Linked DNA regions of Arabidopsis thaliana. Each later gene encodes a partner of the first gene's protein in a complex. Each region holds a gene or a part of one and is shown in the gene's direction. Other genes may lie near its edges.

Evidence for each region.
Region 2: UVH6 (region 1) and AT3G61420 share a complex: the UniProt entries of both Arabidopsis thaliana proteins name them as parts of the 7-subunit TFIIH core complex.
Region 3: UVH6 (region 1) and AT1G55750 share a complex: the UniProt entries of both Arabidopsis thaliana proteins name them as parts of the 7-subunit TFIIH core complex.
Region 4: UVH6 (region 1) and XPB1 share a complex: the UniProt entries of both Arabidopsis thaliana proteins name them as parts of the 7-subunit TFIIH core complex.

What each region holds. Positions count from the first base shown.
Region 1 is NC_003070.9:773,766-780,561, forward strand, and holds UVH6 (RAD3-like DNA-binding helicase protein), read left to right. Parts: upstream 1-1,761; 5' UTR 1,762-1,884; exon of another isoform or gene 1,885-2,042; 5' UTR 2,043-2,056; coding exon 2,057-2,590; intron 2,591-2,716; coding exon 2,717-2,997; intron 2,998-3,389; coding exon 3,390-3,472; intron 3,473-3,570; coding exon 3,571-3,974; intron 3,975-4,106; coding exon 4,107-4,300; intron 4,301-4,387; coding exon 4,388-4,568; intron 4,569-4,720; coding exon 4,721-4,845; intron 4,846-5,041; coding exon 5,042-5,131; intron 5,132-5,236; coding exon 5,237-5,315; intron 5,316-5,408; coding exon 5,409-5,485; intron 5,486-5,772; coding exon 5,773-5,881; intron 5,882-5,978; coding exon 5,979-6,098; 3' UTR 6,099-6,279; downstream 6,280-6,796. Other genes in the region: AT1G03180 (non-structural protein), read left to right, coding at 331-388, 466-774, 887-935, 1,020-1,114, 1,203-1,282, 1,357-1,414. UniProt on the Arabidopsis thaliana protein: ATP-dependent 5'-3' DNA helicase, component of the general transcription and DNA repair factor IIH (TFIIH) core complex, which is involved in general and transcription-coupled nucleotide excision repair (NER) of damaged DNA and, when complexed to CDK-activating kinase (CAK), involved in transcription by RNA polymerase II.
Region 2 is NC_003074.8:22,726,208-22,733,904, reverse strand, and holds AT3G61420 (BSD domain (BTF2-like transcription factors, Synapse-associated proteins and DOS2-like proteins)), read left to right. Parts: upstream 1-1,752; 5' UTR 1,753-2,144; coding exon 2,145-2,210; intron 2,211-2,285; exon of another isoform or gene 2,286-2,308; coding exon 2,309-2,387; intron 2,388-2,474; coding exon 2,475-2,536; intron 2,537-2,622; coding exon 2,623-2,686; intron 2,687-2,789; coding exon 2,790-2,904; intron 2,905-2,970; coding exon 2,971-3,046; intron 3,047-3,136; coding exon 3,137-3,232; intron 3,233-3,316; coding exon 3,317-3,361; intron 3,362-3,662; coding exon 3,663-3,719; intron 3,720-3,818; coding exon 3,819-3,974; intron 3,975-4,076; coding exon 4,077-4,142; intron 4,143-4,688; coding exon 4,689-4,812; intron 4,813-4,995; coding exon 4,996-5,052; intron 5,053-5,171; coding exon 5,172-5,299; intron 5,300-5,387; coding exon 5,388-5,561; intron 5,562-5,656; coding exon 5,657-5,770; intron 5,771-5,910; coding exon 5,911-5,988; intron 5,989-6,120; coding exon 6,121-6,168; intron 6,169-6,365; coding exon 6,366-6,434; and 4 more. Other genes in the region: PIP1A (plasma membrane intrinsic protein 1A), read right to left, coding at 1-248. UniProt on the Arabidopsis thaliana protein: Component of the general transcription and DNA repair factor IIH (TFIIH) core complex, which is involved in general and transcription-coupled nucleotide excision repair (NER) of damaged DNA and, when complexed to CAK, in RNA transcription by RNA polymerase II.
Region 3 is NC_003070.9:20,839,882-20,847,609, reverse strand, and holds AT1G55750 (BSD domain (BTF2-like transcription factors, Synapse-associated proteins and DOS2-like proteins)), read left to right. Parts: upstream 1-1,710; 5' UTR 1,711-1,745; intron 1,746-2,014; 5' UTR 2,015-2,474; coding exon 2,475-2,555; intron 2,556-2,641; coding exon 2,642-2,720; intron 2,721-2,849; coding exon 2,850-2,911; intron 2,912-3,018; coding exon 3,019-3,082; intron 3,083-3,181; coding exon 3,182-3,296; intron 3,297-3,390; coding exon 3,391-3,466; intron 3,467-3,545; coding exon 3,546-3,641; intron 3,642-3,857; coding exon 3,858-3,902; intron 3,903-4,250; coding exon 4,251-4,307; intron 4,308-4,406; coding exon 4,407-4,562; intron 4,563-4,659; coding exon 4,660-4,725; intron 4,726-5,226; coding exon 5,227-5,350; intron 5,351-5,499; coding exon 5,500-5,556; intron 5,557-5,640; coding exon 5,641-5,768; intron 5,769-5,852; coding exon 5,853-6,026; intron 6,027-6,120; coding exon 6,121-6,234; coding exon of another isoform or gene 6,235-6,288; exon of another isoform or gene 6,289-6,348; coding exon 6,349-6,426; coding exon of another isoform or gene 6,427-6,489; exon of another isoform or gene 6,490-6,587; and 7 more. Other genes in the region: AT1G55760 (BTB/POZ domain-containing protein), read left to right, coding at 1-493; AT1G55755 (uncharacterized protein), read right to left, coding at 34-91, 342-477, 1,444-1,495. UniProt on the Arabidopsis thaliana protein: Component of the general transcription and DNA repair factor IIH (TFIIH) core complex, which is involved in general and transcription-coupled nucleotide excision repair (NER) of damaged DNA and, when complexed to CAK, in RNA transcription by RNA polymerase II.
Region 4 is NC_003076.8:16,549,265-16,556,548, forward strand, and holds XPB1 (DNA repair helicase XPB1-like protein), read left to right. Parts: upstream 1-1,854; 5' UTR 1,855-2,072; coding exon 2,073-2,082; intron 2,083-2,169; coding exon 2,170-2,213; intron 2,214-2,309; coding exon 2,310-2,382; intron 2,383-2,464; coding exon 2,465-2,633; intron 2,634-2,715; coding exon 2,716-2,938; intron 2,939-3,042; coding exon 3,043-3,099; intron 3,100-3,430; coding exon 3,431-3,574; intron 3,575-3,683; coding exon 3,684-3,764; intron 3,765-3,860; coding exon 3,861-3,948; intron 3,949-4,121; coding exon 4,122-4,459; intron 4,460-4,616; coding exon 4,617-4,692; intron 4,693-4,778; coding exon 4,779-4,972; intron 4,973-5,245; coding exon 5,246-5,409; intron 5,410-5,495; coding exon 5,496-5,568; intron 5,569-5,663; coding exon 5,664-5,777; intron 5,778-5,872; coding exon 5,873-5,953; intron 5,954-6,153; coding exon 6,154-6,528; 3' UTR 6,529-6,774; downstream 6,775-7,284. UniProt on the Arabidopsis thaliana protein: ATP-dependent 3'-5' DNA helicase/translocase; binds dsDNA rather than ssDNA, unzipping it in a translocase rather than classical helicase activity. Component of the general transcription and DNA repair factor IIH (TFIIH) core complex.

The sequences.
Region 1 (6,796 bases):
GTTTGTTCTTCAATCTCTCCGTTAATTTCTCCGATTAGTCTGTTGGTTACGAATTTATCAGAAGAAAAATAGTTTCGTGGTTATGAATTTATGGATTCTGGATGGATTAGTGATTAATTCCTGGTAGGTGAGTTATGTTCAATTCTAGGAGAAATTGAAAAGCTCTACGCAATTGTGCACACTACTTCCTTTTGGTTTTAGAATTAAGTCTGTTGTATCCACTATGAGTGTTTTACTGAAAACCAGAAACTTCAATTTGCAGCTTTGGTTTTGGCTACACAAAGCTCCTTCTACCAATATGACTGTTGTTGGTTATTTACATCTGTGCAGGGTATTACAAGACATGAGCCTTGAATTTGAAGGATTGCAAACTGAATTTATGGATTTGGTATGTTAGTCCTACAGACGCCATTTTCACTTTAAGGTCTAAGGTCTTTTTCACACTCTAAGAATCTTAGGTTGTAGGAGACGAATCTTGCAGAACCTCAAGTGAAACCACTGGTTAGAAGAAAACTGATGAGTAGAAAGAGAGAGGTGAAGAATGAGATTAAGAAACTGGAGAAACTGATGAAAACCATCTCTAGTCTCCGAAGTGCGCTGCAGTTAATGATCCGTGAAGCTCCTGGCATTCAGAAAGTTGTGTTGATTCTTGGTGGTAGTCCATTACGGCCTCAAAATGCTTATGAGTTGTTATTCACACAACGCAGAGACCATGTTCTAGGCTACGAAGGTGACTTTGCTAAATCCAAAGCTGCAGAAGCACTTTCAAAAAAGGTTTATTCTTTTTCTTACCTCTGTTTTCATGTTGCTTGTGATTTGTCTCTTTTCAATTTTATCTGCTGTGATAAGTCAAAAATGGTTGAGCCCTTCACTCTTGGCTTTACAGACTATCCGAGCACTGATCTCGACGGGTGCTGGATCAACTTCCTACCCAGGTAACTTTTGCATAAATTGCAAACTTCTTTAGCATTGTTGTGAATTATGGTGTAATGATTTTTTTCCCTTCTTCTGAGTTGCAGGTCCAATGAGGCTCTTCATATTGGTTCATGCTCCACCTACTTTGAATCTTCCACAACATTTCCTTCCTAAACGTGACTTCAGATACAACAGAAAGGTATACACTTCTCTGCTAATTCTATTTCACACATCCATGTACAACATTCCGATTTTCCGTCACCTGCAAACATCTTTTATTATTGCAGTTTGTGCCTTCAAAGTTGAGATTCAAGTGCAGAACGCAAGACAATGCAACAAATTCTCCTCCCACAAATGATCTAATATGGTACTTCTCTTATTCACAATTCTCCAGTTACACACTAAACAAGTTCTTGACCATGCCTTACTGTGTCATTGCAGGTATCAATGTCGACATGTGATAAAGGGATTAGCTTTCCATCAACCAGTTGAAGAATAAGACTTTAGAGTTTGTTTGTATCTCTCTATTGTTGTAACTAAACCCTGTTGCAAATTTTAGAAAAAAACCAGCATTGTTGAAACAATTCCAAATCTTGAGATGACATTGTACTACTACTACTGCATACTCTAATACTCTGTTGTTTTAACAAAATCAGGATTGTTCAACTATTTTATATTTTTGGACGAATTGTTAACATTTAAAAACCTAATTTTGTCGAGAAGTTTAATATACATAAAGTTAGGGGGTCAAACGCATTAAAATAAATAAATAGGGGGTCAGAATGAAAAAGAAACAAAGCTTTAAGTTTTTCTAATAAGAGTCCTCCTCTTCTGTTTGCTCTGGTTACTTCGGCAAACACAGACGCAAAATTTTCTTCTTCTTCTTCTTCTTCTTCTTCTTCTACCTTGAAGCTGCTACCGGTTCCTCTCTCAGTCGTTGATAACACATCGAAGCTTCCATTATCACCTGTAAGTTTTCTCCTGTTATCTTCTCTTCGCTTGATCTCAATTGTTCCTTCTTTCTCGTTGTTCGGGTTTATCTACTCCAACTTGAATCGCTTGTTTTGCTAAAGTGAATTCGAGTTTTTTAGGGTTTTGTTAGTTCTAATGCCAATTTCGATTTCTAGGTAGGAGGAAGAAGATGATCTTTAAAATCGAAGACGTAACTGTCTACTTCCCTTATGACAACATATATCCAGAACAATATGAATACATGGTTGAATTGAAGCGAGCCCTAGACGCTAAGGGACATTGTCTTCTCGAGATGCCTACCGGAACTGGTAAAACCATTGCTCTTCTCTCTCTAATCACCAGCTATCGACTCTCTCGTCCTGATTCTCCGATCAAGCTTGTTTACTGTACTCGTACTGTCCACGAGATGGAGAAAACGTTAGGTGAGCTTAAGCTACTACATGACTACCAAGTACGCCATCTCGGCACCCAGGCTAAGATCCTCGCCCTTGGTCTTTCCTCTCGGAAGAATCTTTGCGTTAATACTAAGGTTTTAGCAGCCGAGAATCGTGATTCTGTTGATGCGGCCTGTAGGAAACGAACTGCTAGCTGGGTTAGGGCTTTGTCCACGGAGAATCCAAATGTAGAACTCTGTGACTTCTTTGAGAACTATGAAAAGGCTGCTGAGAATGCGTTGTTGCCTCCTGGTGTTTATACTTTAGAGGTAAGATTAAAAAAGTTAAGGTTTTTCACATTTGTTGTTTGATCAAGTTTATGTTTTAGTTGGAATGCTTATTTCGAGGTTACTTGCACATTTTGCCTGATGGTATATGTGTGTTTCGATTTTTAGGATCTAAGGGCGTTTGGTAAGAATCGTGGATGGTGCCCTTACTTTCTCGCGAGGCATATGATTCAGTTCGCCAACGTTATTGTTTACAGCTACCAATACCTACTGGATCCTAAGGTTGCTGGGTTCATATCAAAGGAGTTACAAAAAGAGTCAGTTGTAGTGTTTGACGAGGCCCATAATATCGATAACGTGTGTATTGAAGCACTCAGCGTCAGTGTGAGGAGGGTTACACTTGAAGGAGCTAATCGAAATCTTAATAAGATAAGGCAAGAAATTGATAGGTACGCTAATTTTTTCCTATATAGCTGATACTCCTTAAGTTCTCTTGAACGTGCCACTCTTAATACAACAATAAACACAGTGATAGGGTCTTTTCTTTTTCAATTGAATTTCCTGATTGTTCTTGAATGCCATCTGGGTGTCTGCTCACTCCAGTTGCTAATTGTTGGTTTTCTTAAGGAAGTTTAAGTTAGTAAGAAAATAATCTGGTTTTATGAGACTGCTTTTTGTCAAAGAACTGTAAGGGGAACAAAAATTTACAAACGCTTTTGTCATCATCTTAAACACATGAAGCATAATTTTCTTGGTTCAATACAGGAAGTGACCTGGTTATTTGCTGATGCTTATTTTTAAGTTCTTATTACATTATTGAAATTGTCCAACTGGTAGGAAGGTTCAAGGCTACTGATGCAGGAAGATTGCGAGCTGAATACAACCGGCTGGTTGAGGGTTTAGCACTGAGAGGGGACTTATCTGGTAAGTATGTGTTCAGGAAGGTGATCTGTGATTTGATTGAAAGCACACAGTAAATTTTCTAATTCTATGAACTTGACGCAACAATTTTTTTTTTGCAGGAGGTGATCAATGGCTTGCAAACCCTGCACTGCCTCATGATATTCTAAAGGAGGCTGTCCCGGGGAATATTAGACGGGCTGAGCATTTTGTGCATGTTTTACGCCGATTACTTCAGTACTTGGGGGTACGGCTGGACACTGAGAATGTAGAGAAAGAAAGCCCTGTTAGCTTTGTATCGTCACTGAATTCTCAGGCTGGAATTGAGCAGAAAACACTGAAGTTCTGTTATGACCGGCTCCAGTCTCTCATGCTAACCCTTGAAATTACAGATACAGATGAGTTTTTGCCTATCCAGACAGTGTGCGACTTTGCAACTCTTGTTGGGACATATGCCCGGGGATTTTCCATCATCATCGAGCCTTATGACGAGAGAATGCCCCATATTCCAGATCCTATATTGCAGGTAAATATGGTGTTGACCTACTTTCTTTTGAGTATTGTCACTGGGATTTTAAGGGATTATGACTCACACGTAAATGCTACCGTTTGAATAATTGAGAATTGTATCTGAAACATATATCCTTTTGTATCTTAGTTGAGCTGTCATGATGCGTCTCTGGCGATCAAACCGGTGTTTGATCGTTTCCAGTCAGTCGTGATTACATCAGGCACATTGAGCCCAATTGATCTTTACCCCCGTCTTCTTAATTTCACTCCTGTTGTTAGTCGAAGCTTTAAGATGTCAATGACACGAGACTGCATCTGCCCTATGGTTCTAACTCGGGGAAGGTATGTGGTATATAAAAAGAATCCTGAACACTTAACTTATTTTTTAATTTTATATGTCTTGACATTATTGGTTGTTTTCTTTTTCAGTGATCAGCTTCCTGTTAGCACCAAATTTGACATGAGAAGTGATCCTGGTGTTGTGAGGAATTACGGAAAGCTTTTGGTAGAGATGGTATCTATTGTTCCTGATGGAGTTGTCTGCTTCTTTGTTAGTTACTCATATATGGATGGCATTATTGCTACATGGAATGAAACTGGAATTCTGAAGGTAAGGTCTTCTTCATCGCTTTACCATGCCAGTAATTTTTTCAGAGTTTTGCATGAATTGGAATTTTTATGATACCTCAAAATATTTTTAGTTGCTTCAGGCATTAATGTATATTTGTTTACTGATATTACCAATTCTCTTAATGTTTGTAGGAAATAATGCAACAGAAGCTTGTTTTCATTGAAACACAAGATGTTGTAGAAACAACATTGGCACTGGATAATTATCGCAGGGCTTGCGATTGCGGAAGAGGTGCAGTTTTCTTCTCTGTGGCCAGGTAAAATTTTTATTTTTGAATGGTAGATGGTTTGGGAATTCATTGCAATGCGTCTTTGGTTCTGCTTCTTTGTTTCTGTATTATAATACTGGAATTGTCTCTTCTCTCCTATTCTTGGTTGGTTAACAAATATTAAAGAGGTTTCACTTTTGAGAAATTTCAAAGAAAGTGATCAAATTTTGTATTTGAACTGCAGGGGGAAAGTTGCTGAAGGTATCGATTTTGATCGTCATTATGGAAGACTGGTTGTAATGTACGGAGTACCATTCCAGTATACATTAAGCAAGTAAGTTGTACTCAAATGAATGTTTATCATTTCAATTTCCGGTTTTCTGCTTTTATATTTCATCGTACTTGGGAGATGATAAGATGGAAACGGGAAAAATTTCAGGATATTACGAGCAAGATTGGAGTATTTGCACGATACATTTCAAATAAAAGAAGGCGATTTCCTAACTTTTGATGCCTTGGTATGATTCTTATTTTATGATCTTATTAGATTTTGGTGTGCAACTCTTTTACCTGTTTGTGACTGTTGTTAACTCTTTTTGGCTTTAACACAGAGGCAAGCAGCTCAATGTGTAGGGCGAGTAATCCGGTCAAAGGCTGATTATGGGATGATGATATTTGCAGACAAAAGGTACATGCCCGCCTTAAGTTTTCTCTCTCTGAGTCTGGTCATTTAGATTCTTGCTATTTTACTAAATGGGATTCTCTCTATAATCTATCTAGTATGATAATAAGTATATGCGCAAGTATCTGAGATCACCTCGAGAATAGAAGATTGTAACAGAGTTCACACTGTTCCTTAGGAATGGGAAAATATTCGTAGGACAGAAGAGAGACACAGATATATGCTTATGTTGGTTTATAATGTCACATTTCTATGGTCTAACAATACACTGCAATTGATGGTAAAACTTGCAGATACAGCCGTCATGATAAGCGGTCCAAACTACCTGGTTGGATACTTTCGCATCTGCGTGATGCACACTTGAATCTAAGCACTGATATGGCTATTCACATTGCTCGAGAGGTAAACCTATAACTCGCTGCTTTTTTATAACTCACAGTGAAACAAACAACAAGGCATAAAGAATCAACAATTTTCCTGGTTTTTGTTTTTTTTGCAGTTTCTTCGGAAAATGGCTCAACCGTATGATAAGGCGGGTACAATGGGAAGGAAAACTCTGTTGACACAAGAAGATTTGGAGAAGATGGCTGAGACTGGTGTGCAAGACATGGCTTATTAGTAAATCAGTTTGTTTGTTATTTTTTGGTTTAGGTCAATCAAAAATTGTTGTAGCAAAAATTTTCACTGTAGGTATTTTGTTCTTTTTCTTGATGATTTTCAAGAATCGAATTGAAATTTAAGGCTCGTAAAAGTTTCGTTTTGGTTTTAAATCTATTGAAATTAGCAAAATTTATGCTTAATGTTAAGATAACTAGATTATCATATTCACTCATTACATCATTTTAGATCAAGAAATACTTCGTCGGCTCCTTGTTAAATCTATCAAACATACCACTAAAAAAAAAAAATCTTAAAGAATGATTAAATAAATTTAACCAAGCAGTAGAAGTGGAATTGAAATTGGCAGAGTTAGTGCGACGACCCAATCACCTGTCTCCAATAACCGCCTCAAAAACTGTCGAAGCCCATTGGGCACTTGCAAAGCCCAACAGTTGGAGTTCCAGCTCACCCACTAGCCGTTATTACGCAGGCTAATTTTTCAACGTGCGAGAAACCAGATTTCCTTTTTCCCGAAGACTATTTAGGGAATTTCCTCTCTTGAGCCAAATTTTCCTTTTTCCCAAGGGGGGTATTTAGGTATTTTCGTCTCTCTCGGCCAAGTTTCCTTTTTCCGTTCCTCCGTAATAAAGCTTTCATTCTTTTTGTAGGTTTCCATTAGAAGTTCAGAAATACTGTTTATAAATACAAATCCAGAGT
Region 2 (7,697 bases), on another chromosome or scaffold:
GCACACATGTTCGGTGACCTTTTCACTCCCATAACAGTCAAGACAGTGATGTAGAGAAAGAGAAAAGTAGCGATGAACTCAGCGATCCCAGCTCTCCAAAAAGACCATGAAGAAAGCTCACCAGGTTCGAAAAACGGAGCTGGTGGTGGTTCCTTGTAGTCCTTGTCACTCTGAGCTGATGTTCCGATTGGTTGTCTCTCCGGGAACTTGTTAGCTCCAACTCTAACGTCTTCTTCCTTGCCTTCCATATCTTCGATCTCTGTAGAGAGAAATTGTAAAGCTCTGTTTTTTTTCTTCTTCTTCTTCTCTGAGTGTGGGATTTGAGAAAGTAGAGTGGTTAATTATATAGTTGGAAGATGTAATGCAAAGAAAGTTGAGAAATAAAAAATAAAGACGATGATGACAAATTGACAATAACATAAAATTTTGTTAATGTTATCTTCGTAGTAATCATACTTACTAAATAAATCTAATTATTGGATTGGGTCAGTGATAATTTAACCGTTTGGACTTTGGACAGAGTTTTGAATGCTCCATTCCAGCTATTTTTGTAGTTTTATCAGTAATGTTTTCTAATCAAAAATAGATCAATGTCTGTTTTTAATAATCCCTCATGATTGTCACTAATTTGGTTAGTTACTAACTGTTACGAACAAAACATGATCCTCCAGTTGAGATGATCTGGCGTTTGCCAGCCAGGATAAGAAGTTAAGAACATCTGTACCATAAGCACCATGCACATTCATTATGTACCATGACTATGACATTCTCCATAATGATTAATGAGTGTACCTACAGAGTTGGGAAATTAAGAGATAGTACCAATAATTCTGTTTTTTCTCTCTTCATGATCGTCTAAACTAACTTTTTTTATTTATGATGATTGATAATCGTTATCGAACTAGTGAATAAATTTTTTCTATCATCAAAGTTACAAAGCACTGGTTTGTGCCAAGATTACAAATTATTTGTTCCTACCACAAAACGTAAGTAGTGTACTAATTGCCAAATAGAAAAGACAATGTTAAAGAAAACAAAAACATGCTTAGTGGTTGCTATATTGTTCTGGAATGGGCCCTATGGCCCTACGCTCTTGTAGCATCCAAGGGCCATCTTGATTACCACCTAGTATTTTCCAACTCCTTATCAATCATTTTGACACTGTAATTAAGTAATTAATGATAAAAAAGGCTCATGTGAGATACTTTCTCAAACTAAAAATCCACATTTACACGATTTGAGGACCTTCAATCTTTAAATTATTATTTTTATATGTATATTTAAGCTGCAAAATAGAAACACTTAAAACCAAAATGTTGAAACATCAGCTAAAATCACTAGCCACTAAAAAAAAAGACCGACCCATTAAGCCTCATGACATGATAAAAGAATGTGTGAAGTGTGATTTTGGAATTTTTATGTTGGAGACTGATTATTTAATAGCCGTCCAATGCATCGACGATAAGATACGTGGAGTCATACCACCTAATGCCGGCGCCTTACATATCCAAAACCGACCATTTATCTTATGACATATGTACTCGATCAATTTATTAATTTTATTGTGGCTGCTATTCATGATTGCATTTGCCCCACCTAGCCACCCCCATTTGCGTCACGGCTCCATAAAAAAAAAAAATATTCATTGACCAAACACAAAAAAACAAGCGAAAATTACCAATGTCCTCCTAACATGAAATTAATAAGACAAATGTTATCGTCTGCCTATAATAAACTAAAAAAAAACAATAAAAAAAAGTTGCGACTTTTAGCTCGAGACAATAAATGGGCCATACATATACGGGCTTAAGCTAACAACACTACTATTGATCGCAGGCCCGGTTAAACAAGGCTCGTACACGTGGCTCTTGAGACTCATCAACTTCGGGTGTGAACTGTTGAACCATCTCAAGACATGAGCTATCACGGCTCGTACACGTGGTTCTAACCACCTCATTATCTCTCGAACTTAAAATTAACAAAATTCCCAAATTATTTAGCTATTTTTGTCTGATCTGCCGACGCTAGCCGTTCTCCTCCGCCAGATTCAAATATTTCCTCCGCCGTCGACACTCCTTACCTCCTCCGGCTCACAAACTTAATCCACCAATTTTACCATGCTTTAGAACCTTGGGCATATATCAATGGAGAAGCGAGTCAAATACAAGAGCTTTGTGAAGGATCCAGGAACTCTTGGATCCCTCGAATTAGTAAGAATACTTTAACTCTTTGCCACTATATGATTTCTATTTTTGTTTCCTTACTCAATGGTTTTTTTCTCAAAGGATCTTCCAATTTTTGTTCTCAGAGTGAAGTGATGCTGCTCTTTGTCCCAAATGATCCTAAATCAGATTTGAAGCTTAAAGTTCAGACTCACAACATCAAAAGTAAGTGTTTGATTATCCATATTGTTCATTCAGATTTATCATGAATAATTTCTCTAAATGATTATTGTGCCATGTTAAATTTCTCAGGTCAGAAATATACCAAAGAAGGATCAAATAAACCTCCTTGGCTCAATCTGACCAGCAAGCAGGTTGTTTTTCCTCGGCCCTTTTTGCTCAAGGCTAAAAAATATTGATAGGTGTATCACTGAAGTTTCCTCGTCTTTGATTATTACAGGGAAGGAGTCATATCTTTGAGTTTGAAAATTATCCTGACATGCATGCTTGTCGTGATTTCATCAGTAAGCTCCACGTGCCATGATTTGGTGTTATTGATTCATTTTAAGTATTTTTTCTGTGTTTCTTTCGTGGTGTTGTTGCTGTAACCAATTGTGCTATGAACAGCTAAGGCCCTTGCTAAATGTGAAGAGGAGCCTAATAAACTAGTTGTCTTGACACCTGCTGAACAACTTAGTATGGCAGAATTTGAGCTACGCTTCAAGCTTCTTCGAGAAAATAGGTGTGTAATCACTTATAAAAGTTGCTTTCTTTTTGGGTAAAAGTTTCTGATATTATGATAATGAAGTGAGTTGCAGAAATTGCATAAGCAATTTGTGGAAAGTAAAGTCCTGACGGAAGACGAATTCTGGTCTACGAGGAAGGTTGGTTCTTTGTTTGTTTCCTTGATGTTTCAGTTTTGCTCTTCTCGTAAGTCTCAATCGTAATAGTTATCAACTGTGTTCTGATCGCAGAAATTACTTGGTAAAGATTCCATTAGAAAGTCAAAACAACAGATGGGGCTCAAAAGCATGATGGTTTCAGGCATCAAACCGTCTACTGATGGCCGGGTATGGTATAATACATCCATTTGCTGATAAATTTTATATGACATTTCATCTGGTTTAACCTCTCTTCAATTTTTGATCTTTCAGACTAATAGGGTGACGTTTAACTTAACGTCTGAGATAATTTTTCAGGTTAGCTATCTGGTTCACTATCTTTCTCATTGATGTAAGGGCTATATAAGTTTCTGAATTTGAATCCAAGCGCGATCCTCCAGGGTCGGGATAAGTTTATATGGCCAATGGGGTTGAAGTTGCAATTGGTGATATATTGAGTCATAAATTCATTACTAGATGTTCGGGTTGCATCATGTGCTTGAACTTACAAATTCCAGTGGGAAACTAGAATTGAAAAGTAAAAACATTTTTAACTAAATGCTGCTTCATTCATACTACTGTCCTTTTCTCACATATGATATCTTCATAACTCTTTCAGATTTTTGCTGAGAAGCCGGCTGTTCGCCAGGCATTCATAAATTATGTTCCGAAAAAGGTAACAAAGACTTCAGCACTCTGACCATCTTTGTTTATTGGTTTAATCATCAAATACAATGATTCATAACTGCCTTTCGTAGTTATTTTTCTACGCCAGATGACAGAAAAGGACTTTTGGACAAAATATTTTAGAGCAGAATATCTTTACAGCACAAAAAATACAGCAGTAGCTGCAGCAGAAGCTGCTGAGGATGAGGAACTCGCTGTCTTTCTGAAGCCTGACGAGATATTGGCTCAGGAAGCTCGTCAAAAGGTCATTTCTTTTTTATAATTAATTATTTCCATGTCATTTGCTTAAAAGGATAATGATTGTGGTCTAACCAATAACCATTTATTTTAAATGTCATGTTTGTAGATGAGACGGGTTGATCCAACTCTTGACATGGACGCTGACGAGGGAGATGACTACACCCATCTTATGGTAAGCCAACTATCAACTCATTCTGCATCAAGGTTTATTGAAACGATAATTTCAAGTTAACAGTGTAGAAATTTCCACAGATAAAATAGGTCTCTCATCGGCTTTTTCAGTGTTGGTGTTTACATATTGTCTCACCCTAGAAGTAGTAGTAGCATGAGAAGCATTGTGCTCCATAGATGATACTAATACTGACGGTGATAAGCATCAACTTGTAACAGTGTGTCAAATGTTTTGTTTTCTAGAATTTCATCAATCCTTTTATAAGTTATTCAATCAAGAAAATTTATGTTCTCACAAATGTAAATTATGGACTGTGTAAACTATATTTGAATTATGTGATCTATTTCTTGCTTAGAAATTGAATTTCATTTAGTGCTTTATCTCCCACTCAGGTCCATTACTTTATATTAGCCTAACGCTAGTATCCAGAAAACAGTGATCTTATAACTTACATTTTGCTCTTTCTATATGTTGGTTGAAAGGTTATTCACATTTTCTGCTGGATCATATTTTATTTTGTGCTTAATTAAATTTCCTGTCACTCAGGACCACGGGATCCAGCGCGATGGCACCAATGACATTATTGAACCACAGAATGACCAGCTTAAGAGGTCACTTTTACAAGATCTTAATCGTCATGCTGCTGTTGTATTGGAAGGAAGATGCATCAGTAAACACTTTCAACTCTGATTGTTTCATCTGGTGTTTTGTGTAACAGTATAAAAAATAGCCATCAAATGACTTCCCAACAGATAGTTGATGAGGGATAAACATGTATTTTGGCCCTCTGCTTTTAGTTCTTGGTGGTAAAGTATACAATGATACTCACTTATTCTTTTATACTGGAAAGTAGATGTTCAGTCTGAAGATACGAGAATTGTTGCAGAGGCTCTCACACGGGCGAAACAAGGTTTGCTGTTTCATTATGATATGCTCTACTTATCTTTTTCTTTTTCTATGCTGATCAATGGCCAATGCTGCAATTCATATTCATCTGACCTAGGTATCCATGTCTATTACCCCTGGTAGTAAGCAAAGCTGATGGTGAAATCACCAAGGACGCTAATCAGGAGAGGTTGGAGAGAATGTCCCGTGCAACAGAAATGGAGGATCTTCAAGCACCACAAAACTTCCCATTAGCACCACTCTCTATCAAGGTCTTGGCTTTTTGTGATAAATAGGTTTACACTGTTGATGATGAAAGATGGTGCGTAAATCCTCGTACCTTCTCTTGTTTGGAATCAGGACCCTCGTGATTACTTTGAATCTCAACAAGGAAACATCCTCAGTGAACCCAGAGGAGCAAAGGCGTCAAAAAGAAATGTCCATGAAGCTTATGGATTACTAAAAGAATCCATTTTGGTGATTAGAATGACGGGATTAAGTGATCCGTTGATTAAACCTGAAGTTTCCTTTGAGGTGCTATTCTATCTCAATATAAAATGCATGCTGCCTAAAGAAACCATGGCTTATTGCTTTGTTCCCTGAGCTAAATATTGCTAAACCCTATCCAGGTTTTCAGTTCGTTGACCCGAACTATCTCAACTGCCAAAAATATTCTCGGGAAGAACCCGCAAGAGAGCTTTCTGGACAGATTACCAAAGTCCACTAAGGATGAAGTTATACATGTAAGTCTGACATCCTCCAATGTCCCAAGTAACAAGCAGCTCAATATATACTGATTACTGTAATTTGGTTAATAATGCCTATGGATATTGTTGTCCCCTCAAATGCATCAATACTTTTTCCTTTTTTCTCTCATATACAGCACTGGACATCAATACAAGAATTAGTGAGACATTTTTGGTCATCTTACCCAATAACAACGACATATCTTAGTACCAAGGTAATGTTGTTGCCACTTCACATTCTTCCAATCATAGAGTTTGCTATGTACATAGATTCTTCAGGATCAAATTGAAATTTATTTACACTGAGAGGAAATTCTTATACTAGGATGTTATATTTTATCATGCAGGTTGGTAAACTGAAGGATGCAATGTCCAATACTTATTCACTACTCGATGTAAGCTATGGAATTCTTCTTCAAATCTTTTTCTCGGAGTAATGCGTTAGAAAAGTAGTTCATTATATCTTCATACGAATGCATTTACACAAACATGAAATTTGGGTAAAATGAATAGGTGCAGAGTTGTAGTCGAAACTTACAGCATATGGTCTAGTGTTTATGGTTTCCGTAATATTATACCGAATGTAAACCAGGCAATGAAACAGTCGGTGCAGTCTGATCTCCGGCATCAAGTTTCCTTACTAGTTCGTCCAATGCAACAGGTTAGCTTCCTTCCAATTCATAGATAGTTTTATTACATCATGTCTTGGTGAAGTCTTATTTTTTCCACTCGCATTGTATCGATCCAATTTAACCAGCAAAACCAGACATTGCGTTGTAATCCAGTTTATGAATTGAAATCTGAGTGATATTAACCCGTTTTCTCCACCAGGCTCTTGATGCTGCGTTCCAACACTACGAATCGGACTTGCAGAGAAGAACCGCTAAGATTACATAGAGAACGTTTTGTACTTGGAAAGAAAGAGATTTCCTTCGACAAAAAATTAAACATTGGACTGAACATTTAGATTTTGTAGTGTAATAGATAAGATTCTTAAAGAACTTGAGTGAGAAGCATCATTAGCGGGATTTGGCCAAGAATGTTGCTTGTGCTACAAGGAACCTCTCAATACCCCAATTGTTTTTTTTTTGGGTGGCAAAACAGTTGGTTAAGAACTTGATTGAGAAGCATTAGCGGGGTTTGGTTAAGAATGTTGCTTGAGCTATGTAGTCACTGAATCGGTCATTAAACTCTCATAAACAGAAATCGATGATGCTAATACTATTGTTTAGTTAAAGGTTAGATATGTTGCTAATGAATTTGTTTAGTTTTGTAAGAGCATAGTGATAATTGAGAAATTGGATAATATATAGAGAAGACGATGGGAAGTGTATAGGGGTATTCGGGTTTAATTAACCTAGCATTTGTTTTGAGAATGTTTGTAATAAATTTGTTTACCATAAAAAAACCTTATAGAAATTAAATTAACCTAACCTAAAAAAAAATAAAAAAATGAAAAATGAGAATAAGAAAGAAAGAAAGTGAAGACAGAAAGGTTCACAGAAATAGCCATCTAGAAGAGCCTCACCGACTTCATCAGCCACCAACGAACCCTGAGATTCTATTTTCATCATCTCGAGCCATGAGCCATCGCGGCTCGTACACGTGGCAATTATAACCCACTCCATTTTCTCTCTTGTCTTTTTTTTTTTTTTGCGCGAGAAAAACTTAATTATTAAAAAGAAATCCCAAAATATTATTAAGCCCTTCTTTCTCTCTCTTATCCGCTCCTGTCTCTCTCTCTCTCTTGGTCTGTTTCTGCCGCCGCCGTCGCCGTTATCCCCCGCCAGATTCAAATCTTTCTTCCACCATCGTCACTCATTGCTTCTCCTCCGGTCGTAAGGTACGACACGCTTGTATTCTTCTTATCTATTGCTTTCTCATCGTCGTGTTTCTCCATTATATGTATCTCTCTATGCGTGTG
Region 3 (7,728 bases), about 20 Mb from region 1:
AACGATCAATGCCTCTGATGGAAGCATTGGAGCTCACCGAGCAGTTCTCGCTGCCCGTTCACCTGTTTTCCGCAGCATGTTTTTACACGACCTGAAAGAGAAAGAACTATCAGAAATAAACGTACTCGACATGCCACTTGATGCTTGCCAAGCTTTTCTCAGTTATATCTACGGCAATATCCAAAACGAAGACTTTCTTATACACAGATTGGCACTCCTCCAAGCAGCTGAGAAATATGATATTGCTGATTTAAAAGAGGCGTGCCACTTGAGTCTTCTAGACGATATCGACACAAAGAATGTGCTTGAGAGGCTACAGAATGCTTATCTCTATCAATTACCTGAACTGAAGGCTAGCTGCATGAGATATCTTGTGAAGTTTGGCAAAATATTTGAGATCCGAGACGAGTTCAACATATTCATGCAATGCGCAGACAGAGATTTGATTTCTGAAATCTTCCACGAAGTCCTCAGTACCTGGAAAGGATTTTAGGGGAAATCAGAAAGGGTATGTGTGCTATAATTATACAAAATACATTTATGGACACTGATTTTTTGTGCAAAAGGATTTGTTGGTCTTTATGTACAGATTAAAGTATTGGGGGTTTTAACTCAAAACCCAAGTATTGTCCTTACAAGGATAAGACAGCAACATGTAAATTCATGATTTGATTGAATGTGAGCTTCTTAGCTTGAACTTTGAATTGTTAATCTATAACACTAATATAGTTTTCTGAACTTTTAAAGTAAAATCTACAATCATCTTTTAGCAATTTTACCCGATTCATGATACTAAAGTTATACCAAGCTAAAAAGCTAAACATACATATCCTCCCATGATCTGTAATCTTCCCTAGTTTATTGTAATGGTGACAGATGTTAAAACATATCATGCTACAAGCAAATTCAACAGGAATGGTTCAGTAGTTTCAGAGAATCAACCAACTAGTTTCTTAGCTAATATGAAAAATTCAAAACAGAGGAATATATACATTCTTCTACTCTAAGACTAGAATCTGTGCTACATACCAATGTGAGTACTACATGGTTTACAGAAACCAAATCTCCGGAAAAAAAAAAATCAGAAAACAACTCCCTGAAACTGAATCAATAGCTACATAAGCGATTTCAGATCGTCTTCAATGGAAACAAAATCAGACTCTAAGACCTCTGAGATCCGCCACAATGCCGGAAAACTAAGAGGAAATTACATAGAAACGAACTCGAATCAGGAAATCTCTGTGACTGCCAAATAATCAGAAACTAGAATGTCGCACGAATCTGATATATGGAATGGATGGTGTTCATGCGTAGGAAAAATCAAAGTGAAAAAGAAGAATCAGACAAGTAAACCGATATGGGTCTAATAGAATCGCAAAATGAAAACGACGAAAACAACAAAATGGAATTTCCTTGCAGAAGAAACTTACCTTCGACAGCTACCTATCACCACCACCATCGCCTTCTTCATCTTCGAATCTGAGATTCGCTTCATCTCTTCCTCCAATTTTGAAGAGAGGGAATATTGTTCTTCATAAGATGCTGGAAAATGAAGATTTTTTTTCAATTATTTTTTCCCGGCAAACGAACTACGTCAATAATGGGCCTTATTAGTGGCCCAAAATATTAAAGACGTCGTTTCATTCTGTAATAAATAGATCCCTAATCAAAAAAACCTCCCAAATTTCGAACTCAAAACTCTTTCTACGTCTACCTTCTTCTTCTTCAGCCGTCGACATCCTCTAGTAAGCCAGCTACTCTTTTCTTCTTCTGTACAGTAATCAGCTTCAATTCTATAGAGCTTTCAAAAAAAATCTATCGTTTGAAGCTTTATCTGGTTTGTGGTCTTTTTTTGTCGATGTCAATTTAGTTGATAAATGCACAAATATGTATCTTTTCTTCTTTTCTGTGTCTATCCTCATTATTGATTTATACTAGAGATTACAGAATTTGGTACATATTGATTATAGTCGTGAGACTATCATAATTTAAGGTGTTGTATGCTATTTTACAGGTTTGAATTTAGTCATTGAAGGTGTTAAAGTCCATGGCAGAGTCTATTCAATCCGCAACTGAAACCGAGCCTATGACGGTTAAGCCATTGAACTTTGAAGGCTCATGAAATGTCTGATGGGAAAGTTCAGTTTAGAGAAGTAGCCGTTCCACCGAACCGGTACTCTCCTCTCAAGAAAGCTTGGTCGGATATCTACACACCGGTCTTTGATCAGATGAAAATCGACATAAGGATGAATCTTACATTTTGATGCCCCTAATTAGTTTTGACTTTTTGTTCATTTTATCACATGACCAATCATAATGGGCCGTAGCAGTTTAATTCGGGTCAGTAAGTTGGGTCATGATTCGGGTCGGATACTTATTCCCGTTCTATAGTATAAACCTAGATTCCAATTTCGCTTGATTTCCGATGAATTGATCGACTGGAAAACAGAGAACCACCGTTTCTACAGTTGGATATGGCTGGTGGGCAAATAGAGAAGCTAGTCAAATACAAGAGCACTGTCAAGGATCCAGGAACTCCTGGATTTCTCAGAATTGTATGAAGATTACACTTTTCGCTCTTATTTGAGTTATATTATCTCTCAGCTTAACTGTTTCTTTTGCAAAATCGAAAAATTTGCAGAGAGAAGGGATGTTGCTCTTCGTCCCTAATGATCCCAAATCAGATTCTAAGCTCAAAGTACTTACTCAGAACATCAAAAGTATTGTTTGTACCTTTTCTCATTAACATTGCTTATTGGATAATAGATGTTGTGTTGATAAACGATTTCAGTTATGATGATAGCTGCATAGTCATTATCAAATTTCACTGTGTTTGTTCAATCTCTCAGGTCAAAAATATACCAAAGAAGGATCAAATAAACCTCCTTGGCTCAATCTCACCAACAAGCAGGTTTTTTCTGTTGACATTTTTTGATTAAAGCTATGATACATTATAGATATGTGAATTTTGAAGCTATATCTCTGTGTTCATTGAGGTTTCCTCATCCTTGATTGTAGGCAAAGAGTCATATCTTTGAGTTTGAAAATTATCCCGACATGCATGCTTGCCGTGATTTCATCAGTAACCTCCATGTCCCTTGGTTTGCTTTTATTGATTGGGAAAGTATTTCTCTTGTTTTCTTTCGTGGTGTTTCTGTAACCTCTTTTTTACTATAAACAGCTAAGGCCCTTGCTAAATGTGAATTGGAGCCTAATAAATCCGTTGTCTCGACATCTTCCGAGCAACTCAGTATTAAGGAATTGGAGCTGCGCTTCAAGCTTCTGAGAGAAAATAGGTATGTAATTGGAACATTAAGTTGCCTTTTTGGGTTCAAAGTTTCATTGGCTCATCAAGTTCCTTCTAATATGAGTAACATACGTGATTTAAAGTGAGCTGCAGAGATTGCATAAGCAATTTGTGGAAAGTAAAGTACTGACTGAAGATGAATTCTGGGCTACAAGAAAGGTTGGTTCTTTGTTTGATTTTTTTAAAAATTTTGTTCTCTTCAATGTCTTCATAGTTACCGACTTTATTCTGGCTGCAGAAATTACTTGGTAAAGATTCCATCAGAAAGTCAAAACAGCAGCTCGGGCTTAAGAGCATGATGGTTTCTGGCATCAAACCATCTACTGATGGGCGGGTATGGTATAGTTATCTCAACTCCTTTCTGGCAGTTAGTACAGCCAATTTAGTTAGCATTTTCATGTGCCTGCTTTTGTAGGAAAGAAACAATGCATCTATATGACCATACACTGATGTGTTCGACTGAATTACATTCATATGTTGATATATATCATATTATCATGTGACATCTCTGCTGGTTTACTAACCACTTTCTTCATTTTTCTTCTTTCAGACTAATAGAGTGACGTTTAACTTGACACCTGAGATAATTTTTCAGGTGAGCTCTTTGGTTCACTATGTTTGTCATTAGTGTAACTGCTCTATCAGTTTCTGAATCCCTCCAAGGTCGTCATCATAAGTTTTTTATATGTTATGGGGTTGAAGTTGCAGCTAGTGATATATTGGGTCAGAAATCCATTGTTAGGTGTTCAGGTTGCATCATGTGCTTGAACTTCTAGTCCAATCTGAAACTACAAATGAGGAATATAAACTTTTTTAACAGTCTTTCACCCACATTCTATCTTGTGCTTGCTTAGCCAGTAAATCCATTGCAAGTAACTTAAATGTTACTTTCGTAACTGCTACAGTCCTTTTCTTACTTATGTTTTCTTCATTACGCTTTCAGATTTTTGCTGAGAAGCCAGCTGTTCGGCAGGCATTCATCAATTATGTTCCGAGTAAGGTAACAAAGACCAGCTCACTGTGACCATCTTTGTTTATAAGGTTAACCCTCAAATACGACGAATCTTAACTGGCTTTGGTAGTTATTTTCCTACGCCAGATGACAGAAAAAGACTTCTGGACAAAATATTTTAGAGCAGAATATCTTTACAGCACCAAAAATACAGCAGTAGCTGCAGCAGAAGCTGCTGAGGACGAGGAACTCGCTGTCTTTCTGAAGCCTGATGAGATATTGGCTCGGGAAACTCGTCACAAGGTTAGGTTTCTTCTATGGTTTAATCATTTATCATATATTTTGTTTGAAAAGAAAATATTTGTGGCATATCCATCTGATTTAAATGTCATCTCTGTAGATTAGACGGGTTGATCCAACTCTTGACATGGAGGCTGACCAGGGAGACGACTACACTCATCTTATGGTAAGTCAACTACCACTGCATGTGAAAGGTTTGGATAATTTCCAAATTGCGCAACAATGGTTGTTGAAAGGAAAGTTCAATGCTCAGTTAACACTGTACAGATTCACACATAGAATAAGTCTTTCATCGAGGTTTGTAGTGTTGATGTTTACGTATTGTCTATCCCTAGTAGAAATAGTATGGGAAGAACTGGGATAATACTAACGGTGTTAAGAATCAAACCTGTACCAATGTGTGTCACTTGTTTCTTTCTTCTAGAATTCTCAGCGAACCTAATTTGAATTGTTAAATCAGGAATTTAGTTTCTTTCAAATAACTCTGAATTAGTGCTTTTGCTTTTTCACAAGACCACTACTTTAATATTAGCATGTGTGAGAAGGAGCTCAAAACTGATATCTAGAAAATATTAATCTTAACATTGACATTGTGCTCTTTGTATGCGGTTGAAACGTTATTTTCAATACACTTTATCGTACTTAATATAACTTTCCCATAACACAGGACCACGGGATCCAGCGTGATGGCACCATGGATGTTGTTGAACCACAAAATGATCAGTTTAAACGATCACTTTTGCAAGATCTTAATCGTCATGCTGCTGTTGTATTGGAAGGCAGAAGCATTGGTAAACACCTCTAAGAACCTCATTTGAATCTTTTTATCTGAATATTTTATAACAGTAGATAGTTCAGGAAGTGTAAACATTTATGTTGGCCTTTTGACTTTAGTTCTTGGTGGTAAATATACAATAATATTCCTGTAATTGGAAAGCAGATGTTGAGTCAGAAGATACAAGGATTGTTGCAGAGGCTCTCACACGGGTTAAACAAGGTATGATGTTTCATTCTGCTAAACAATGCCACGCTTTTTATTCATCTGACCTTGCTATCCATCTCTATTTTACACCCCTGTTAGTAAGCAAAGCTGATGGTGAAACCACCAAGGACGCTAATCAGGAGAGATTGGAAAGAATGTCCCGGGTAGCAGGAATGGAGGATCTTCAAGCACCACAAAATTTCCCATTGGCGCCGCTTTCTATCAAGGTTTGGCTTTCTGCCAATATAAGGTTTTCACAATTGATGATGGATGCTGCGTTAATCCGCTTACCCTTTCTTCTTTGGAATCAGGATCCTCGTGATTACTTTGAATCTCAACAAGGAAACGTCCTCAATGTACCCAGAGGAGCAAAGGGCTTGAAGAGAAATGTCCATGAAGCTTATGGATTACTAAAGGAATCCATTTTAGAGATTAGAGCTACAGGATTAAGTGATCCGTTGATTAAGCCTGAAGTTTCTTTCGAGGTGCTATTCTGTCACATAATAAAAAGTGTGCTGACAAAAGAAATCATTACTTATTGCTTTGTTGCCTGAGCTAAAAATTGCTAACCCTATTCAGGTTTTCAGTTCGTTAACCCGAACCATTGCAACTGCTAAAAATATTAATGGGAAGAACCCACGAGAGAGCTTTCTGGACAGATTACCAAAGTCCACTAAGGATGAAGTTCTACACGTAAGTCCGACATTTTCCAGTGTCCTAAGTGACAAGAAGCTCTATATGTACTAGTTAGTGAAGATTAGGTAGTAATGCATATGGATAAGAGGACTTTTCTTCTTTCATCTACAGCATTGGACATCAATACAAGAATTACTGAAACATTTTTGGTCATCTTATCCGATAACAACCACATATCTTCATACCAAGGTAATGTTATTGCAATTTTCAAATCTCCCAGTCCCAGAAATTGCTATATATATTGATTCCTAGGCTTTCACGGGAAATTTAATCTTATTATACACCAAGAGCAAGTTATTATACCAAATATTTTTCGTCGATTCTTGTGATGTTATATTATTATCATGCAGGTTGGTAAACTGAAGGATGCAATGTCCAATACATATTCAAAACTTGAGGTAAGCTTTGAAATTCTTCATCTTTCTGACAGAATAAGCAACTGATAGTAAATCTGCTATGTTAAAACAGTAGTTCCTAATCATACCAATGCGTTTACGAAAATGAAATTTTTGGGTAAATAAAATTGATGCAGTATTGTAGTCGAATCTTATTTGCATATATATGGTCAACTGTACGGTTTCCTTGATATTAAACTCCATGTAACTCAGGCAATGAAAGAGTCGGTGCAATCTGATCTCCGGCATCAGGTTTCTCTACTGGTTCGTCCAATGCAACAGGTTAGCTTCTTCCAATATCTACGGAAGAGTTTTATACTTTTATTACATCATGTCTCGGTTAAGTCTATATTTTCCACTCATATTGCATCTATATCCAGTTTCTACAGCCTTGCATTGTAATCCGGTTTGAAAATTGATCTTAATCGGTTTTCTCTGCTAGGCTCTTGACGCTGCGTTCCATCACTACGAAGTGGATCTGCAGAGAAGAACAGCTAAGAGCGGCGAAAGACCAAACGGCTACGTATAGAGGACAAAAAAACTAAAACTAAAAAGCTTTGCAAGATCTTTGAATTGTTTCATCAGCCTTGGTTGGTGTTTTTGAAAATCTTCATTTGTCCCTTTTTGTCCGACCATTGAGATACAAAAATGCGTTTATATTGTAGTAATATTTTCTTTTCTTTTTTTTGTTAATTAGGCGTTATATTGTTAACTGCGAGAGACAACAAAGAGATTTTCTCGATCTGAACATTTTTAAGTTTGCAATGTATTAGTAAATTCTCTACAGGCTTTGAGGACGTTACTACAGCTCCAAGAAAGCTCTCAGTGCCATAATTGTTTGGTTATTTGGTTACTGGTGAATATTTATAATAATGGGACAATAATAGAGAAAATGCTTCGATGGCGTAGTAGATTTCAATGTTTGAATCGCATCAAACAACAATCCAAATTAGAAATATATAAAATTCAACATAAAACTTTTTTTGACATAGCATTCATGGATAACTTTTGATTTGAATGATTAATTTACTCATTGTGAGGAAAAAAATAAAAACAGATAAAGTTACTCATTGCTTGTCATATTGACATGACATAC
Region 4 (7,284 bases), on another chromosome or scaffold:
TTGATTAATTGATATTAGAAAGTTCTTTCCTTTTTTTTGATATTTGTTTTCTAGCATATCATGATATCGCCTCGAGAATACCTTTGAAAATTATTTTGTTATTGTCAACTGTCATGATATCTCGCTGAACCAACATATAAAACACGATTATAATTTGGTTGACAGATCCTGAACAACAGTAAAACGTACTTAGTTTTCGAGGTTAAAAAATAATTACTTGTCATGATTTCGAATTAAAAATAATAATGGGCTCAATTTGAGATTAAAGAAAGCCCACGCTAAAAGAGGCCTACTAAATGCCCATATTGGATCCGTTATTGTAGCCTTTCTATATATGAATCGAGTTTGCATTTCTGCTATAACGTTCTCTGCATTCACATGATCACATCAACTCAGTAACGGACTCGACATACCCGGACCTGGACCCGACACCGAATCCGAATCATAATGCGACGGAGACGCAGCTCGCTTCTCGGTCTAGCTTACAACGGAAAATATTTACGGTACCGTTTGTTTTCCCTCTGTCGTAGAATTTCTGTCTTCGACACCGGATTGATATAATCGATTGAAAAGACAAGAGATAATGTCTAAAATTGATTCGATGAAGAGAAAAAGATCAATATGGGGAACGATAAAAGTCTCGATCTTACTGATTTTGGTTAATTTTCATATTACCCTGCAAAAAAAAGTATTGTCAATTCTGGGGAATTTTGTTGTTCAGGTGAAAGATGAAGAAGACCCGACTCTGTGTGTTTTTTCTTTTAAGTGTCGTACTGATGAAGAAGATCTGGGTCAATTAGTCATCCGTTATGGCCCAGTTGTTAAGATGTTATCCAAATCGTAAGAAGAAGGCCCGACATGTTTTTGAGACGTTGGTAAGAAGAAGGTCTTGCTTCTTTTGTGCATCCAGATAATGTCTATATGACCAAGGTAAGAGCATCCTCATTGCACATCCTCCAATGAATGTCTTTCATATTAAATAATATTAAATTTAAAGACCCTCTCTCTTTTGACAGGTAAAATGTCTACTATTAAGACACATCCATTTATTATTTTCCACTTTTTTAAGTAGTTTAAAAGTTTAAAGACACCCATAAAAGATATGCAATGAGGATGCTCTAAGGGACCGAGATTATATACTGCTGCAGATGGGGTAATGTAATGCTATTTGTCTTGTGCAGGAGCGTTGGATGTACATTGGTCTCCTCTTGGTTCATACTTTGTGTCACTTGAGAAGGAGAAGAACGTGGCAACTCTTTGGGCATTGAATCGTCTCCCATTCTCAGACCATGTACATTGCACAATTTTTATGAGTATCATAAGCCCAAAAATATTAAATTAATGAATAAAATAACTGATTTGGGTTTAAGTAGTATCACTGGAGTGATTTCTTTGATACCAGTCTCTGATAACGTGGCGGGTTATGATTAGTTGGGAAAACATGTTTTTGTGTGAAAAGAGAGAAATTTTTTTTTTCGATTAGTCGGGAAAACGCATCTTTTCGATTTTGCAATTTTTTTTTTTTAATGATACTAATACGATTTCACCGGTGGAAACAGATTTATTATCAATATTATAAAAAGTTTCAAACAATAAATAAACATTAAAATTAATAGTAAAATATTATTAATGGTACTCTATGAGTACCAACTATGTGCATGCTCTCATGCGCTTTCCTTCCTCATCCTATGGTTTGTCTTTCATCTCCCATTTTGCATATGTAAGAATAATCTTAGAGGCTAAAAGAAAAAAGAATGGGCTCAACGTGAGAATAAGAAAGCCCACATTAAAAGAGGTCTATTAAAGCCCATATTTGATCCGTTATTTATTTGTAGCCTTTTGAATCTTCTACTTTACATTTCCCTTCCTTGACATTAATGATTAAACCAGTGATACCCGAACCCGACACCGAATCCGATTCAAAATCCGCCGGGGACGCAGCTACTCCCTCCGCCAAATAGCTTTCAACGGTAAATTTTCACGGCGCCGGTTGTCTTCCTTCTTTGTTCTTCTCAGGAATCGCTAATTGATAACTTCAATTGGAAGATACAAGACAAAAAAAGAAGATCAATATGGGAAACGGTATTAAGCAGCTCGATCTTACTGATTTTTGCTTAGTTTATCTTGCCAAACAAAAGTATGCCAATACTGTGAAGTTCTGTTGTTCAGGTGAAAGAGGAAGACCTAACAAGAAGATGAAGTATGGTGGCAAGGTTCGTCTTGATTCTTCTCCAGATCAATTTTTTATTTTATCAATTAGGGCTCTTCAGATGGTAGTTAGTGAGTGTAATTGTACTGTCAAATCTCAGGATGATCAAAAGATGAAGAACATCCAAAACGCTGAAGATTACTATGATGATGCTGATGAAGACTCTCGTGATGGTAAGATTGTAGCATACTTATTACTTACAAATGGATACATTTGGAACAAAATTGAATTGAAAAGTTATAATGGTTTTTGAAGGTGAAGGAGAGGAGAAGAAGAGAGATTTTACTAAATTGGAGTTGAAGCCAGATCATGGAAACAGGCCTTTGTGGGCTTGTGCTGATGGAAGGATTTTCTTGGAGACATTTTCTCCTCTCTATAAACAAGCTTATGACTTTCTTATCGCCATTGCTGAACCCGTTTGCAGGTTCGATTTTGATTTGGTGATTATATCAATGTACAAGTTATGATTTTTGTTGTTGATTTTCATTCATTTGTTACTATTTCAGGCCTGAGTCAATGCACGAGTATAATTTAACCCCACACTCGTTGTATGCTGCTGTTTCCGTTGGTCTTGAGACAGAAACTATCATTTCTGTTTTGAATAAACTGTCTAAGACTAAGCTACCCAAGGAGATGATTGAGTTCATCCATGCTTCTACTGCTAATTATGGGAAAGTAAAGCTGGTTTTGAAGAAGAATCGGTATTTTATTGAGTCCCCATTCCCAGAGGTAAGTTCATTAGGCTGATGCTCTGTCTCTGCTCTTGTGTATTTGGATATTGGTTTTCGTTTTTCCATTGCCTTTGCTCAATTGTAAACACAAAACAATCTCAGGTTTTGAAAAGGCTTCTCAGCGACGATGTTATAAACCGAGCTAGATTTTCTTCTGAGGTATGTTGAACTCCTCCATTTAGTTCATTATGTTTGCTTTCAAGATTTTATGCTGGATGGAAATACATACCATTTTTGGTTGTTCTCAACGGTGTTTTGCATCTTTTGTCACCAGTGTGGCAGATATATATATATTTTGATTCTCTCAGGTTCTTGGTTTCATGTTTATATTCCTAACTCCTAAGTTCCTTGGAACGATGTTTCAGTTGGTAAATTAACTCATAATCCTTTTTTCTTAAACTCTTGATTCATTGACTGTTGATTTATTTAATCTAATACCATTGTATTCTCCACAGTATGTCGAACCAACTTAGATTAACTTTTTTGGTAGCCATATTATGGCGGTGATGGATTCTCGGTCGGCAGAACATGCGGTGAACTTGAAGCAGGACCCGGGGAGCTATTGAATGAAGCGGAATTTGCAGCAGCAGCAGAAGAGAAAGAAACTCACTCATTTGAGATTGACCCTGCACAGGTAAATTTCTCCTAATGCTTCTTAAAAGTAATCGAATTGATGAGTTTGGTAAAGTTGTATGATCTTTACTTAACTCGTGGTGTCATGCTCTTTTTCTCTTGGTGTTTAGGTGGAGAATGTGAAGCAGCGTTGCTTACCAAATGCCTTGAATTACCCTATGTTAGAGGAATATGACTTCAGGAACGACAATGTGAGTAACAAATATTACACTTCAGGCCAATTTTTGCTTACCAGATGATATGCACCGCAGGTGTGTGATTGTTAATAACTTGATGGTGTCTCTCAGGTTAATCCCGATCTTGACATGGAACTGAAGCCCCATGCACAACCGAGGCCATACCAGGAAAAAAGTTTGAGCAAAATGTTTGGGAACGGTATAGCTGTCTGCATCCACATTATTTTTCCTTATTGATGGTGAACTTCTCATAGATATGTCCACTTGTACTTCCACGTGACTGATCTAGCTTTATGGTGAACACCTAATAGATAATTATCTTTGTAATTTCTTGAGAAATATTGTGACTGATCTTGAATCTTGGATTTGCAGGGCGAGCAAGATCTGGGATTATAGTGTTGCCTTGTGGTGCTGGTAAATCTCTAGTTGGTGTTTCTGCAGCTGCTCGTATAAAGAAGAGTTGTCTTTGTTTGGCGACGAATGCTGTCTCAGTGGATCAGTGGGCCTTCCAGTTCAAGTTGTGGTCTACTATAAGAGATGACCAAATATGTCGTTTCACTTCTGATAGTAAAGAACGATTCCGTGGAAATGCTGGTGTTGTTGTGACAACCTATAATATGGTTGCCTTTGGTGGTAAACGGTCTGAGGAATCAGAGAAGATTATAGAAGAAATGAGAAACAGAGAGTGGGGGTTACTGCTCATGGATGAGGTAATCAAATTGATGTTAGTGTTTGCTGGTAGTTATTTTGCGGAAAAGTCATATGTTCGTTGAGAAGGTGTATCCAGTGTTGAGCCCATGAATGCGATCTACAAACAATAAGTTTCCATTCTATGCTTGACTTTTCAAGATTTCTGTTTTGTTTTAGGTGCATGTGGTTCCAGCCCATATGTTTAGGAAAGTTATCAGTATCACAAAATCTCACTGCAAGCTAGGACTTACAGGTAATTTAAGGGTTCATTTTCACATACATTTACATATGTATACTTCAGTTGCAGAAGCTAAGTTTCTTTTTTGGACTTTTGTTCAGCCACCCTTGTGAGAGAAGACGAAAGGATTACAGATTTGAACTTCCTCATTGGCCCGAAACTCTATGAAGCCAATTGGCTAGATTTAGTTAAAGGAGGCTTTATTGCAAATGTTCAGTGTGCTGAAGTATGGTGTCCCATGACCAAAGAGTTTTTTGCAGAATATCTAAAGAAAGAGAACTCCAAGAAAAAGCAGGTTCATGAATATATGCTTTTTTGCATTTTCTGAAAATAATATCTGAGATTGTTAGATATCTGATCTTTATGTTAGTTTCATCTGATGCACTAGAGTCCATGAATTTTATGTAGTCTGGAACCTTGAAATATTGTAAGCATCAATATAGGTTCTTTTTTTAGTGTGCTTTTCTAATTTGGAAAATGCTCTAATAGAACCACCATGGAAAGTCTATGGAATTGGAGCTAGTAAACCTTGACAGTTGTTCTGACATGGGTCTTCTGGTATCTGCAGGCACTTTATGTCATGAACCCTAACAAGTTCAGAGCCTGTGAGTTTCTGATTCGTTTCCATGAACAACAACGTGGGGATAAAATCATTGTCTTTGCAGACAATCTTTTTGCGCTTACAGAGTATGCGATGAAACTCCGGAAACCAATGATTTATGGTGCAACCAGGTTCGTTCAAGTTCTATTGATAACACACTTTTTTCGTTTTCACTCAATTTCCAATTTGATAATTCAATTTTTTTTTCAATATGTAGTCATATCGAAAGGACAAAAATTCTCGAGGCGTTTAAAACCAGTAAAGACGTGAACACTGTCTTCCTGTCAAAGGTATAAACATTGTTTCCTTCATTATATAAATTTGTCCTTCCTCCATTCCATGTTCGTTAGGGAACTTAATTTCCGTTTGGTTTATTTGACTACAGGTTGGTGATAACTCCATAGATATCCCTGAAGCTAATGTGATTATCCAGATTTCGTCACATGCTGGTTCTAGACGTCAAGAGGCTCAGCGTTTGGGTCGTATTCTTAGGGCTAAGGTTTGAATTTCGTACTCATCACTTAAGTGTCTCTTTTAGTTTCTCTTGTTGGTTGGATCAAATTTTTTTGATATTTCTCCATATGATGAAAACAGGGTAAACTCGAAGATAGAATGGCCGGTGGAAAAGAAGAGTACAATGCATTCTTCTACTCACTTGTTTCGACAGATACACAGGTAAATCACTAAAGTGAAGTAGGCATAAAAACTGAATTTCCTCAGACCGAACCCGAATTAGAACCAAAATATGATTCAGTTCTTGCCCGACCTCGTTTTCTAAAACCCGAAACATGAAACTTGAACTGATAATACAAACACCCGTACTCGTATCTCCATGTGAATGGCTGATTTAAGGATTGTGAATGTTGAAAATGCAGGAAATGTATTATTCGACGAAAAGACAACAGTTCTTGATAGACCAAGGTTACAGCTTTAAGGTTATAACAAGCCTCCCACCTCCGGACGCGGGTTCAAGCTTGAGCTACCATAGTCAAGAAGAACAGTTGTCTCTTCTTGGAAAGGTGATGAATGCTGGAGACGATCTGGTCGGTTTAGAGCAACTCGAAGAAGACACAGACGGAATGGCTCTACAAAAGGCGAGACGAAGCATGGGATCGATGAGCGTAATGTCCGGTTCAAAAGGAATGGTCTACATGGAATACAACTCAGGCCGTCACAAATCCGGTCAGCAATTCAAGAAACCTAAAGACCCAACCAAACGACACAATCTCTTCAAAAAACGTTACGTGTGAGAGAAACAAAGAGAAGCTTTCAAGAGTTTTCGGCTGTTTGTTTCGAGTTGTATGTAACTTTTGTGCAAATTTGTTGAAATTAACAAATAAATTACTTAAATTAATAAAAAAATGTATGATGTATCATGTATGTAAGTATTTTTTTTATTTTTATTTTTTGTAAGTATTATGACATTGTTTAAATATGTAAGTGTATGTTTCTATTTCGAGGAGGCTACTTTGCAATTGTGGAGGAAGTTGGTAAGATAGTAAGATACCCTCACCAAACACAAACATGCACAACAGCAAAAATGTATAAAGATAAATCGAGATAAAATGAATTATCAATGTTCGTCCCACGTAAGAGGAATATTATTTGTTAATAATTCTTTCTTTTTTTATTCCTATGTATTTATATGTATACCTTTTGTATTTTTATAAGCTAAACCTACAATTAAAGTTCTGTGTAGGTAGCATTTTGACCACTTTTTCAGTTACATTGATTTACTTAATTTTTTGTCTATTTAGTCCTAACGGATTGATATTCTTTATCTATTTCTTTGACAAGCTTCATGATCACAAATCTTCAAATGGCCAACTCCCATTGGTTGCAAATTATAATGCTCTATACTATCATTTGAAGCATCTTATTTCATTAAAGTGTACTCTTATAAAAATCATAAGTGTGGAAAAAAAAACGAAAAAAAAACATAATTATTAGAAATACAAGATATTTGAATCCAAAGTTAATATTAAGATTGTAATAAATGTGGATTA